Drosophila melanogaster: one gene and its partner. Changing the gene in region 2 together with the main gene of any one other region gives a genetic interaction. Each region holds a gene or a part of one and is shown on either strand. Other genes may lie near its edges.

Region 1 (4,911 bases), on a different chromosome or scaffold from region 2:
TTTCGGTTGTATAACTCTTCAGTTGTCACTCGAGAGATTTGGAAAAGTTGTTTCTTTTCTTTTCCATAAACTGGGAACTTAATAAAAATAATAGAAAGACCATTGCCGGTGAAATTGAATCGTTGGCATTCTGCCCACATATTATACAACTACAACGCGTGGCGACAACAAGTTGGTTGGTTGGCCAGCTGCTGGCGAATAAATAGAAATGTTATATGCGTTCACTTAATAGCCGACAAGTGTTTAATTTGTTTGTTTTGGGTTTCGCCCGATTAATAAATAAATATGGCCAATGTATATAGCCCATTTAGTGCCTCGCCGTGACCTCAAAACATGGCTCAATTTTATGCGATTTGTTTACTCAATGCATTTTTTGTTTTGACTGGCTGGCTGCCTTCTGCCATTTTATTCCCGACGGAAATAAGATTGCTTTTATATATATATATACATATATTTTCTTATTTCCCTGATTCTCCGAAGTGCACTTGATTACGTGCAGTTTATGGGGCAGATAAAATTTTCCCAACGAATGGGCTTTAGTCTAAAGTTTCCAGCGCTTATGAATGGGCTTTAGTCTAGGGCTCAGGTGAAAGCCAATTGCCTGCTTAGCCTTTTTTTTTGCAGATTTATGGCCAAGTTATTTCCACCTCTCCATGCAGACAGTTACAATGGCCTGGCCAAAACATTTGTTGTCCGCTGTCAATTTATTATTTGTTATTTATTATTTACGTTCTGACTCAGACCACGGCGGATGTAAAGAGGCGAAGGTGTCCATTCATAGAATGCCAAACCAACCAACCAACCAGCCAGCCAACCAACAAAGTGGTGTGAAAACGTGTTCAATGCTGGCCGAGATTGTCCAACGAATCGGTTTTATTTATGGCTTATTGGTAACCGGCAAATTCAATTAAACAGATATTATCTTAAATGGAAATTTATGAGCCAATTCGCCCAAAGAGTTAAGGGGTTTCTCAAAAATGTTTCAGCTTATCCGAACTGCCTTAGAGAAACGCAAAATGATTTTTCTCTCTACAGATGTACAAAATGTACCTAAACTCAATTCTAGTGTTTTTATCTACAACAGGAAGTCAATCTTCTGTGCATAAGCAATCCTCTTGAGATTAAAAAGATCTCTTGTGCAATAATACATATCAGCATTCTAAATATCTCTAGAGATATTACAATCGCTTGAAATGCACACAAATTCGTTGTCACACACATTCTTTGATTATTTTGAAGTCTATTTTCGGCGAGTTCTGCTTAAATATTTTGTGTGTATTTATAATTAGTTTCTATTAATGCGAAAGAACTACTTTGTTCATTTTTTCCAGTGCATACAAAGTAATTTATTCGTAATGGAGCTCTCTACTTCAGCACAATCAACTACAGTAAAGTATCTCTAATTTGACACCCACTGCGGGGGGCGGGGCAGGTGTGCGTATCTGGTGGATACTTGGCCATAAGCCCCACCTGATTAATGTGCCATGTGCATAATGGGTAGGTGTGAAAAAGAGGTGCAAGTGGCCAGTAGCAATGTGATGGGTGCACATTTTCCAAGAACCACTAGTATCCATTGATTATTCTGGCTTATCACAACAGTTGTTCAACGCTTGATGCCAGGTGAATTGCGAATTTGGCCAGGGGAATTACAATAAATATTTCATCAACACCATTCGCGGACATTTTTATGACTCCAAACTTTGACGATTCGTAGCAGTTTTGTACCACATTTTCCGGACATTGAGAACGATGGCAATTAACAACAGCCTGGGCTGGGCAGCCTTTTGAAGTGGCCAGAGATAAATGGAGCAGTCGGCAAACTGAAGGAGGTCTGTATTCAATAAACAAATTGGGCACAGTGTGCAATTGGAGGCAATGAATTATGGGCATCTGATTTGATCAGAACTTCTCGATCCTGAGTCACGTATTGGGGGAAAATGTATCAACAGTTCGTTTGGTCAAGAAACGGATGGCGTGGAACCGGTTTAAGAAAGTCGCTATAGACACATTCAGTTGACCAGGCAAACAAAAGAAAGGTGAACCCTTTCTTCTATATATATATGTACATATATATGTATATATACCAACTTTATTTGGGTGTTTCTGGAAAAGCAGTATGAGTAAATTCGAAATCCATCGTAGTGTTATTCATATTTTCATAGTCTTACGCAGTCTACCGTTTGATCGCAGCAGCTTGGCAACAACAACAACTATTGAAGATACAACAACAACTTTTGAACGTACAACAGTCACGATCGGCGATGAATCACGATTTGAATACCTGGCACCGGTGGATGTTTGCAGTCTTGATTACTTGGAATGCCGCTGACGTATTCACCATAGACACACGCACACTTTTCGTAGACCCAACACTTATATGCACTTATCAATGAATAATACCAGGCAGTGATAATAGCACACACACACACACACGCACTTAGAAAAAGGTCACTGATAATAGTTCATTATGTACACCATCTATAGGAGCATAGTGACCATGACTATTTTGGGTGTTTTTTTTTTGTATAATTGCATCGAATTGAGCAACATCACGAGCGCCGAATTCGATTTCGATTTTCGAGCTTACGATTGACAATCACTTAGAACTCTTGTCAACCACCTGTGGCTGAGTTTGCACTTGTATTCGAATTCCGATTCGTATCTGTGTTTGTTTTTTACTTTTGCGAAGGTGTGGGGGTTCGCTCACATCGATATCTAAACTTTTGAGTGCGGATTCATTTGCTTAGCACCTTTGATGCTTCACTTATACTTATATACGACACGATTTGGTTTCGTTTCCACACGATTCTATATCTATATTATCGGACGTATCTTCGAGCCTTTCAAAAATTAACGCTTACGTTGTGGTTTTCTGTGCTTAACACTTTCTGCGTGGGGCACTTCAGCAGTATCGGTTGCTCTTGAAAGACAATAAATACTGCGTCGTCGGCAAAGTTTGAACAGTTTGCACCGAACACAAGTCAAAAGCCCGCGAAATTTCCTTCCGCTTTGACGTCCGAACAGCTCGAAAAGTTAACGTTAACTAGAGCTGGGGCACTATCGACGGTACTATCGAGGTATCCGATTCGATTGTTATTTTTTGCTATCGATGAGCGTTATCTACAGCATGTAGAATAGAACGGATAGAATAATATTTTTGTTATATCTTTAGTCAACATCATTTGAATTTTCTTGTTTCGTTAGGGAGTTTATCTCTCGTTTAGTTTCCTTTTATTATTATTTCATTATTATTTTGAAAGGTGAAGTGTACTAAATAACGAGCTAAAAATTGAACGCAATCACGCTATTCGCGGCGATGCCAGACCGCTTGAAAACAGTTCCAGTTGGCCAGTGGCGGCCAGTGATGCCATGCGTACTAAATTTCCTAACGGTTTTAGTTTTAGATCGAAGTGCTTAAAATAAAGTTTTCTTTTATTAAATAATATTTAGTATCATTTAAGCATTTCTAACGATTTGTCAGCTGAGTAAGGGGATTGTGATTTATAAGGGTCTCGACTATAGCATTTTCACTACTTTCCACCTATTAAATATTTTCAGGAAACTGGTAAATCCTTTTATTCTACAATAAAGTATAATACAATTTCCATTTATTATTGATAAGAAATAGTACATTTTATTCATTCGGTTTCACAAAGTGGCCCTGGAAATAAATGGTTTCCCTATCGCGAATGACATAGGCAAAAGGATGATCGGCATTAAAAACCATTTGAGATGACGGCATAGGCATACTATAGCGCACGAAAAGTAAAGCTGGCAAAAATAAAACATATTATACAAATATATATATAATAAAATTATATCATACCTGTTGCAGCCGCTGCCTCAGCTCCTTCTTCATTAACCTCGATGAACGCCTTATGAATGACTTTTTTCACATGAACGTTACTGTTTTCGACCAGATCTTTGAAGTCAGCAGATTTTTCGAACGCATCTTGTATGCCCATCTATAGATGAATATCTATAAATTGTAAGGGTGTATCAAGAATAATCTGTGAATACTCACCGCCACAAGAACTTTGTTTAGTTGAGCGAAGAATTCGATTTTAAACTTGGGAAGCCTTAAAGTTACATCCATTTTGGAAAGTTTCGGTTTGAATCCTACAATCTTTTTCTCCAGCTCTGATAGTCCATCGACCTGGTCCGGTAGAAAAATTAGCATGGACAGGCTTGAATTTCTGTAGGGCAGCTCGATAATTTTGGCACCCAGTTCACTATCATGTGCGGCCCTAAATGATTGAAATAGTGACATCATCTCGACAGGAACACTCTTTTGATCCGAAACACGGAAATTCCTCTTCTTCGTTAACTTGGGATTAAATTTGTACTCCCACTGGCCTTTAAAGTATATGGCATTTAAGACGATCAATTCCATTTTCGACATGTCATTGGATGAAACTAAGTCTTTGATTTTACCACGCGTCTGATTATCTACCCAATTATTGACAATTGAAGAAGCCTTATTGGGATCGACAATGTCGATTGCCTCCGCTTCAGCCATAAATGAATCCTTGACCATCTGATTGTAACTCGGTACTAGCTGGAACTTTTTGTTCACGTATATGCGATTAGCCAAACTGAGAGTGGCTACCTTCTCGCGTCCTTCGAGTTTACTCAGAAGGTCCTTGTATTTGGCTGCCACTTCCTTTTTGTCATCGGGCAGTTTCAAAACATTCCTCATTTCTTGGGCTGTCTTTGCCCTGGCTCCCATGTAGGCCATGCTCAGTGCGATTTCCACGGAAAGGGGAGAGGAAATGAGATTATTGGCCGCATTTTCCTTGGCCAAAAGTTGGTAGAAATCGTCGGCAAAGCGACAAGATACCGACGTGGCCAAAAGAAGCAGACCTGCGTTGCAATTATTACCTATTCCTCTTTGATTAACTTGTATTTTAT
Region 2 (7,629 bases):
GCCTTTTATTATCTATCCAGTGCCTTGAAATTTTTCTTTATACTAATAAATGTATACTTTATTAAATAGTTTTAGTGGTCAAACCTATTCAATTGAGCCAACAAAATGAAGATTTTTTGTTGTTTTTGAAAAAAAAAAAAAAATAAAAAAGAATATAAACACAAATTTAAGAGATCAGAAACTTTGCTATTTAACAAATGACTGATCTATTCATACATACAAATTTATTTCGCTTAAATCGGATTGCATATAACTAAGTTACAACGTTTCAAACCTAAACAAATAGTCAAACCTATTCAGTTGAGAGGCATTCGCATGATGCCCGCAGCACGGAGTTTAGCCGGCGCCTTAATTGGGATTCATGGCCATCATTCTTGCTGAGTTCTTTTAATTAACATACTCTTCAATGTAATAGGACGACGATTAAAGCAGTTGTCATTAATATTCTTCTTAGCAAAATTAAAAGCCATGCCTGCTCAACTTTTCTATGGCAAGAGATATACATTACTTACCTATGCATTTATTATATTCATTAAAAAATATCTTGAGGTAAGCTGGTCCTAGCCACACGTTAACATAAAATGAAAGTGATATATTTTTCGTTGAACTGTCCACGAAAGAACATGCGCTGTTTTTTCGTAGAACTGCAAATATTTCTGGAGTTTGGCAGACAGTCTGGCATCTTTATGAACCCTAAAGATCCATCGACTAATAATTAAGCCATAACCTGTTACAATTGAGGAACTGTAAGCCGTCATATTTCTTGGATGGGCTCAGTAGTCTCCGGAGCGCTCCCATTAATTAGACGAATTGTCTATTTGTAGGTGTCAACAGGTAAATTTGTCATTGTTCAAGCGGTTTTTTTGTAGGTGACGATTCAGAAGGACGACGGAGACATGTCCTCTAAAGAACTGTGTTTTCGCAGAGGCATGCTTAGCTAGCGGCAAGATCTGAGAAAGCGGCAAGTCACGTTGCACATCTAAAGGATAATGTGGCAAAATCCAGACAAATGCTGTCCTTAGCGGCACTTCAAATGATGCGCTGACAGAGGTTGCTTGTTTGCTGTTTGACTATGCCATCGCAATTGACGTTTGATGGCTAGGCTGTGCGCAAATAAATAATAATCAAACAAATACATATGTACTACAATGCTATCCCTCGTTATTCTTAGGCTTGAGAATTTCTCCATAACAACCCTGCACGAGGAGCTTTGCTATCGATATAAAATTGAAGTGGAGGAATATATACATACATATCATTGTATGTATGACGTATATCATACATATCATAATTCAATTGTGATATCTCTGAGTTTTTCTTATTTTATATTTCTTACTCCATTCGAAAGTTTTTCCATCCAACAGCGAAAAGTTAGTTAAAATGTTTCAATTTGTTGCCAGCTTATAATTTCCACGGACCACGACTTGGAAAGCTGTCTATAGATGGCGCTACCGGACCACTCACTCGCACCCACAACCACCACCCCCACCCACACCGAAGCCATTTCCCAGGCGTCGCACTTTCTTATTTCACATTTCCGGCCGAAGCGTTCGGCTGTGGTGGATTGCCACTGGTGGACGTCCGCTCCATCCGTGCGAAGTTGTGCGGTAGACGACGACGCTGCATCAGTTCGCGCTCAGACGTCATCGGTGGAAAACCAGGCCAGCTCGATCCACTCTAGCCGTGTCTCGTCTCGTTTTAGTCCGTGAGGTACTCGATTCGAACCGCATATACTCGTCCACGTTCGCCCGGCGAGGAAAAGGGCGAAAATCATCGATTGTAAAATGATATGCTAGGCGAAACCCTACTTCAAAGCCCCCAGTGAACCGAGATTAAGTTAAAGGCCTATGGATTAGTGGAGCTGGCCAAGTGAACTCAACTCTCCGCCTGATTCCTCACATGTTTTCCAAGGCAACTGTTTCTTCTGTATCTGTTTTCCGTTAAAAATTTAACTACCGCCTGCAATTAACGAGCCCAAAAGTCCGCGGAGAGTGAACCTAGAGCAGCGCCACCAGGCAACAGTGAAAATGGTAAAAAGTGATTATGAAATGGGCCACAAGGTGCAGGCCTAATCCGCTGAGCCATGTTTATGCACATCCTTTGCCTTAATGCAAATTGCAAGTCAATTGTCACCCCTCGACTCTTGTTGAAGGAGCAGAATGGGGCAGAAGCAGAAGCAGCGCATTTGCTTTTCTATGCCCCATTGTCTTGCGCCGCTGAAGTAAAATACGAACGTGTATGATGTAAGCTCAGCTACCACAGCTTTTCTTTCCTCCCAGTCCGACGCCACTGTCCCCTAGTCTATTAAATAAGCATAGTCATTTATTTTTATAAGATGACGCCGTCATCGTGGATTCCTTCCCCCTCTTCCCATATCTCTCAGCAGACCCGTGGAGGCAACAACAGCATCACCAGTAACAACAACGGTAACTAACGGCAAAAGTCAACCGAAAACCACTGCGGCACTCTTGCAACCTTACCCAACAGCAAGCGGGAGTAAGGGTGCTGTCAGCGCAGGAGGGTCACGGGGAGAGGAAAGCGTAACTGTAAATCGATATTTTGCGGCATGACCGAGTGGCCCGAAAGGGGGGCACTGAGCTCACGGAATGGTGTGGTGGCTTTGGTTTCGTTAGTCACTCAGTCATACTGACGCCGCCAAGACCTTCGCATCACGCCCCACACTCCTCACGATGCTATCTCTGTATCCCAGGGCCGGTCGTGTTTAATGGTGAACTCCCCACTTGCTCTCGCTGCTCCCTCGCGCTCTCGCTCTCTCTTAAGAGAGAGGGAGAGGAGAGTCCCGACGCTCGGGAATTTGCTTTAAGTGTGCGCTGTTATCACACCAGCAGCAACAACAATAACAATATCAACTTCAATTATTCAATCACATCTGCGTTTATAGATTATAGTGGATTCAGCATTGTCAGAACTCTAGAAGTTGGGAGACAAGGTCCATAGTGTCAGATGGTATAGAAACTCTAGTGCACAATAAGTGCTGTACTTTCTCTTAAACAATGAAATTACTTAAGCATTCATAATTCTGTGCTCCCTAATATGTTTTTATGTTCATACAAATGTATGTAACTTTTCCAAACGTTTAGAGTCTAAGACAAAAGTGGCTTTAATGTTGAAAAAGAGCTGCGTTAAACTGGCCTCAAAATAAAAATTTTTCGAACCCTTTTTTTTAACATTGCAGAGGGCATTTTAATTTGAGTCAGTAGCTTGCAACGCAGCAACTAAGATATTTGCGAGCATATAAAGTATATATTCTTGATCAGTATTAACAACCGAGTTTATATGTCTATGTCCGTCTGACCAAACGTTTTTTCTGCACAAAGCATTCAACTTTCTGCTTTCTATTGCAGGTTTTAAATATACATATATTCGAATCGAAACACTATATATATTATATGGTTTCCATGGAATACCGGGGAAATAAATGGAAAAAAATTTGCATCGGTGGTTTCGATTATAAAGTGCTTTAAATAAATAGGTGAGCAGGTTTACTATCTGCTCCACCTAGTCGTCTGGTCTTGTTCGTATAAACGCAGTGATATCGGGAACTATAAAATATACAATGTTGAGATGGACACCATTTTAATTTATTTTCGGCATTTTCAATCGCTATGCTGACAAAATATATGAATATACATATATGAAATATCATTTTTTCACTTCTACTAACTGGGTAAAGCGTATCGGACAGTCAGGGGAAGATTTATGTATGTATGCACACCTCCTGCATTGGATCTACATACCGAAAATTGAAAAGTATGTAACAGGCAGAAGGAAGCGTTTCCGACCATATGAAGTACATATATTCCTGATCAGAATCAATAGCCAAGTCGATCTAGCCATGTCCGTATGAACGTCGAGATCTCAGGAACTATAAAAGCCAGAAGGTTGATATTAAGAATACAGATTCTAGAGCAATGTTTCCACGCCCACTCTAACGCCCACAAACCGCCCAAAACTGCCAAGCCCATACTTTTGAAAATGTTTTGATATTTTTTCATTTTTTTTTAAACAATTTTTAATTTTTTCTAATTTTTATCACCAATAACTATCGATATCCCAGAAAATTATGAAATTTCGAAGATCTGATAGTCGAGAAGTCGACTATTGTATTCTTTATTGTTTTTGTCGGAAAATGTAATATAAACATACAAGGTAAAATTCCAGACAAAAGGGCTTAAAGCTTAGGTAAACTTGAGTTTTGGTAAGAAGATATGTATGTTCTTATATGAATATTTTGTGTGGTTGGCCTTACTGTAGTTCAAACTATTGTATGTAGGTGTCACATTTCTACCAAAGAGCGGCAGACAAAGCTGGCTTGTGCAATAAGCCAACCACCATACCCCAGCATAAAAAATCTTAGTACTCCATTATTTCCTTTCCAAGCTGTTATTTGTACACTGTCAAATGAGTTTGTTAGTTTGTGTCAAATTAACAAACACTGATTGATAAAGGAAATCGTTTTTGAAGGGATATCACAGATTAAGTATTTGGTCATTCCATTATGCGAAGCTTTTCTATATATAAAACTCAAAGAATGTTCTTATAATAAGCCTTAATCGGACAGTAAACTTTTTAACTCTATTTATACCATTGCAGGGTGTAAAATGATTTTCAGTCTGAAGTTTGCTACACAAGACTATTGTGATGTTGGTAATATCAAGACAATAGAATAATATTCTGGCGTCTTTGGTAATATAGACAAGTCATGCTCAAATACTCAAAATTGATCGTTTTCATTAAAGAAACGTCTATACCATTAATAAGTAGTACATATGTTCACCTTATCACATTGATGGGAACCAGCTTGGTCTGTTAACTCTTTAAAACCTAGGGTATGTCCCAAAGGCTACCAAAAACATTTATTAAATGAATTCTAGAATTAATGATATATTGAAAGTAATGGAGAGTTATCACGTTTTTGTTTAGAAACATGTCGTTTTAGTGGCCGGAATCGAACATCATACATATGTAAACCGCGCTAACCTAAATATTTCCTTTGCAGATTGTACGCAGTCGATCCCGCCGTGCCCGCATGTGGAACATGGGGCTGCTGTTCTTAATATACTATTGCGTCAGCATCTACTCCGCCAAAGGAGACACCAAGGACGGACAGGTCCTGCCTCTGGATGTGGGCGCTCTGGCCGAGGACGCTGGCGATGCCGAGGCCAACGGAGAGGATACTCCAGAGAGAAACTCAGAGAGTTCCGTTCTGGACACAACACTGGCGTTTGAGGTACCGTGTCATAAAGATCCACGACCACTTAGGACTAAAACCTTCTCCGATAGCCTCAGGCGAGTACACAATCGACTCCCATTCATGGCGCGGTTCCCACCTGGCGCCCAAAGCGGGACAACTGCACGCCCCCGGCTATCGAGCAGTTTCCACAGCCGCTGATGAATAAGTGGGCGCGACAGCACGGCGGCCTTATCCTCCACATACTGGTGGCAGTCTTCACTTTCTTCGGGTTGGCAATAGTTTGCGATGAGTACTTTGTGGCCAGTCTGGATCGGCTTTGCGAGGGTGAGTCCTCAGCCAAACAAAAAGTGGCGATCGATACTTTAGCATACAAAATTGAATATCAACTTTTCGGTTGTGTATTTAGAAAGGCAATCAATTTTGCATTTGAAGAAGCGTCGTGGCTTGTTTTTTACCTCGCCATGACCACTCGTTATGATCAACCACTGCAAGCTTTAATTTCTTCGTGTATGTAATGTATTTATTATGTATTTTGCCAAAATATTGATGGGTAACCCTTTATAACCGGCCCAGCCACAGGCGATTTTATTTTTCGATCACTGACAGGCACCGAAGTGATAATGGTTATATGATCACATTTTTTCTGGCGAGGTGTGAATACTGAAATATTTTAAATATTCAACTATTTGGTGCAGCAAAAGGATTATTATAATATCCGTCACTCGTTTGTTTATTCCATTTAAGAGCTAAAGCTATCGCCAGATGTTGCGGGAGCCACGTTTATGGCTGCCGGAAGCTCGGCTCCTGAACTGGCCACTGTGGTGATAGGAGTGTTCTTTGCTAAGGACGACATCGGCATCAGCGGGGTCATCGGATCGGCCGTTTTTAACATTATGTTCGTGATCTCTGTCTGCGCCCTGTGCTCGGGTACCGTCTGCCAACTGAACTGGTGGCCCCTGGTGCGGGACTGCTTCTTCTACTGTGTTTCTATTCTTGTAATGTTAATAATCATCTTCAATGACGTTATATCATGCGTAAGTTACGACCAAATAGAAACCATCGTTATCGTCATCTGATATCCTTTTTTTTTTAGTTTGAGTCCGTCGTGATGCTCCTCTGCTACGTAGGATACTGCGTGGCCCTCCATTTCAATACGGAGCTGGAACGCTGGGCACTGGGTCTGAATTTACCCTTCAAGCTACCTAGTAAGGAAGAGCAGTCAGCACTGGTAACCTACAAAAATGTTCCAGAAGGCTCCTACACCCAAGAAAGTGTCGGCCAGACCCAGGGACAGAAGGCCACCGATGATAGCGAGACCAGAAGTGCGAAGCCGCAAAGCGACTACCAGGACTACAGCGATCCGAATCCGACATGGGACCCGAACGCCGCATGGGGAGATGAGAGCCAGCCGAATCCAGTGGCCAATCCTCCGCCCGTTGACGACTGGGGAATGGGTCACAGTGGTCAGGAAAACATGGGCTACCATGCCGACCAGCCCGAGTCTGTGGTAACAGGCGATGGTCCACCTGCGGCCGTCAAGAGTGGTGGCCAGGTTGTGTCTACTCAGGCCACCTCGGCCGGAGGCAACGACTACTACAAGTCCACGGACAAGCAGCGAGAACCGCGCCGCGATCCTCTACTGCGTCCCATGGAAGGAGGGCTGCCAGCTCTGGTTTCCTGGTACGTGGTCTACCCGATCCACTTTCTCTGCAAGAAGACGATGCCGGACTGCCGGCAGGAGCAGTATCGCAACTGGTACCCCTTCACCTTCCTAATGTCGATGGTGTGGATATCGTTCTACTCTTACTTTATGGTGTGGATGATCACCGTGATTGGGTCCACGCTTGCCATTCCGGACACCGTAATGGGTTTGACGTTTGTGGCCGCTGGCGTGTCTGTCCCGGATGCCCTAAGCTCAATAGCCGTTATCAAAGAGGGCTTTGGCGACATGGCCGTGTCGAACGCTATAGGCTCGAATGTCTTTGATATACTAGTGTGCTTAGGTCTTCCCTGGTTCATACAGACGGCCATCATTAAGCCCGGCTCGCACGTCAACGTAATATCCAAGGGTATGTATTGCTTGCGTGTCTATCTACCTTGTAGTCATCGTCGTGTGTCCTTGGCATGAGAGTCCTAGGCCAAGTAGCAGCGCTCGTAATACCGTTCAAGTCTAATCCTTAGGTGCTATTTCCCTCTCCTGTCTGTTTTCCAAACAATTTCGATTTTCAGGACTGGCTTACTCCACGCTGTCGCTCTTCTCCACCGTCGTCTTCTTAATTCTGTCGACGCACTTGAACGGATGGAAGCTGGACAAGCGACTCGGCATAATTCTTATGGTCTGGTATTTGTTCTTCATCACACTGGCGTCGCTTTACGAGTTAAATGTCTTCGGCTACATGAACCCACCCGAGTGC

What was found.
Region 1: of CG1090 (region 2) and Pvr, changing one enhances a phenotype caused by changing the other (phenotypic enhancement), as found in Drosophila melanogaster (one study listed by BioGRID).

The regions. Positions count from the first base shown.
Region 1 is NT_033779.5:8,236,831-8,241,741, forward strand, and holds the start of Pvr (PDGF- and VEGF-receptor related), read right to left. Parts: upstream 3,049-4,911; 5' UTR 2,862-3,048; exon of another isoform or gene 2,089-2,861; intron 1-2,088. Other genes in the region: Spn28F (serpin 28F), read right to left, coding at 3,635-3,771, 3,827-3,965, 4,025-4,863.
Region 2 is NT_033777.3:4,358,258-4,365,886, forward strand, and holds the start of CG1090 (uncharacterized protein), read left to right. Parts: upstream 1-1,625; 5' UTR 1,626-1,710; exon of another isoform or gene 1,711-2,243; intron 2,244-5,020; 5' UTR 5,021-5,050; coding exon 5,051-5,251; intron 5,252-5,304; coding exon 5,305-5,539; coding exon of another isoform or gene 5,540-5,730; exon of another isoform or gene 5,731-5,959; coding exon 5,960-6,249; intron 6,250-6,308; coding exon 6,309-7,284; exon of another isoform or gene 7,285-7,444; coding exon 7,445-7,629. UniProt on the Drosophila melanogaster protein: May function in the removal and maintenance of calcium homeostasis. Transports one Ca(2+) and 1 K(+) in exchange for 4 Na(+).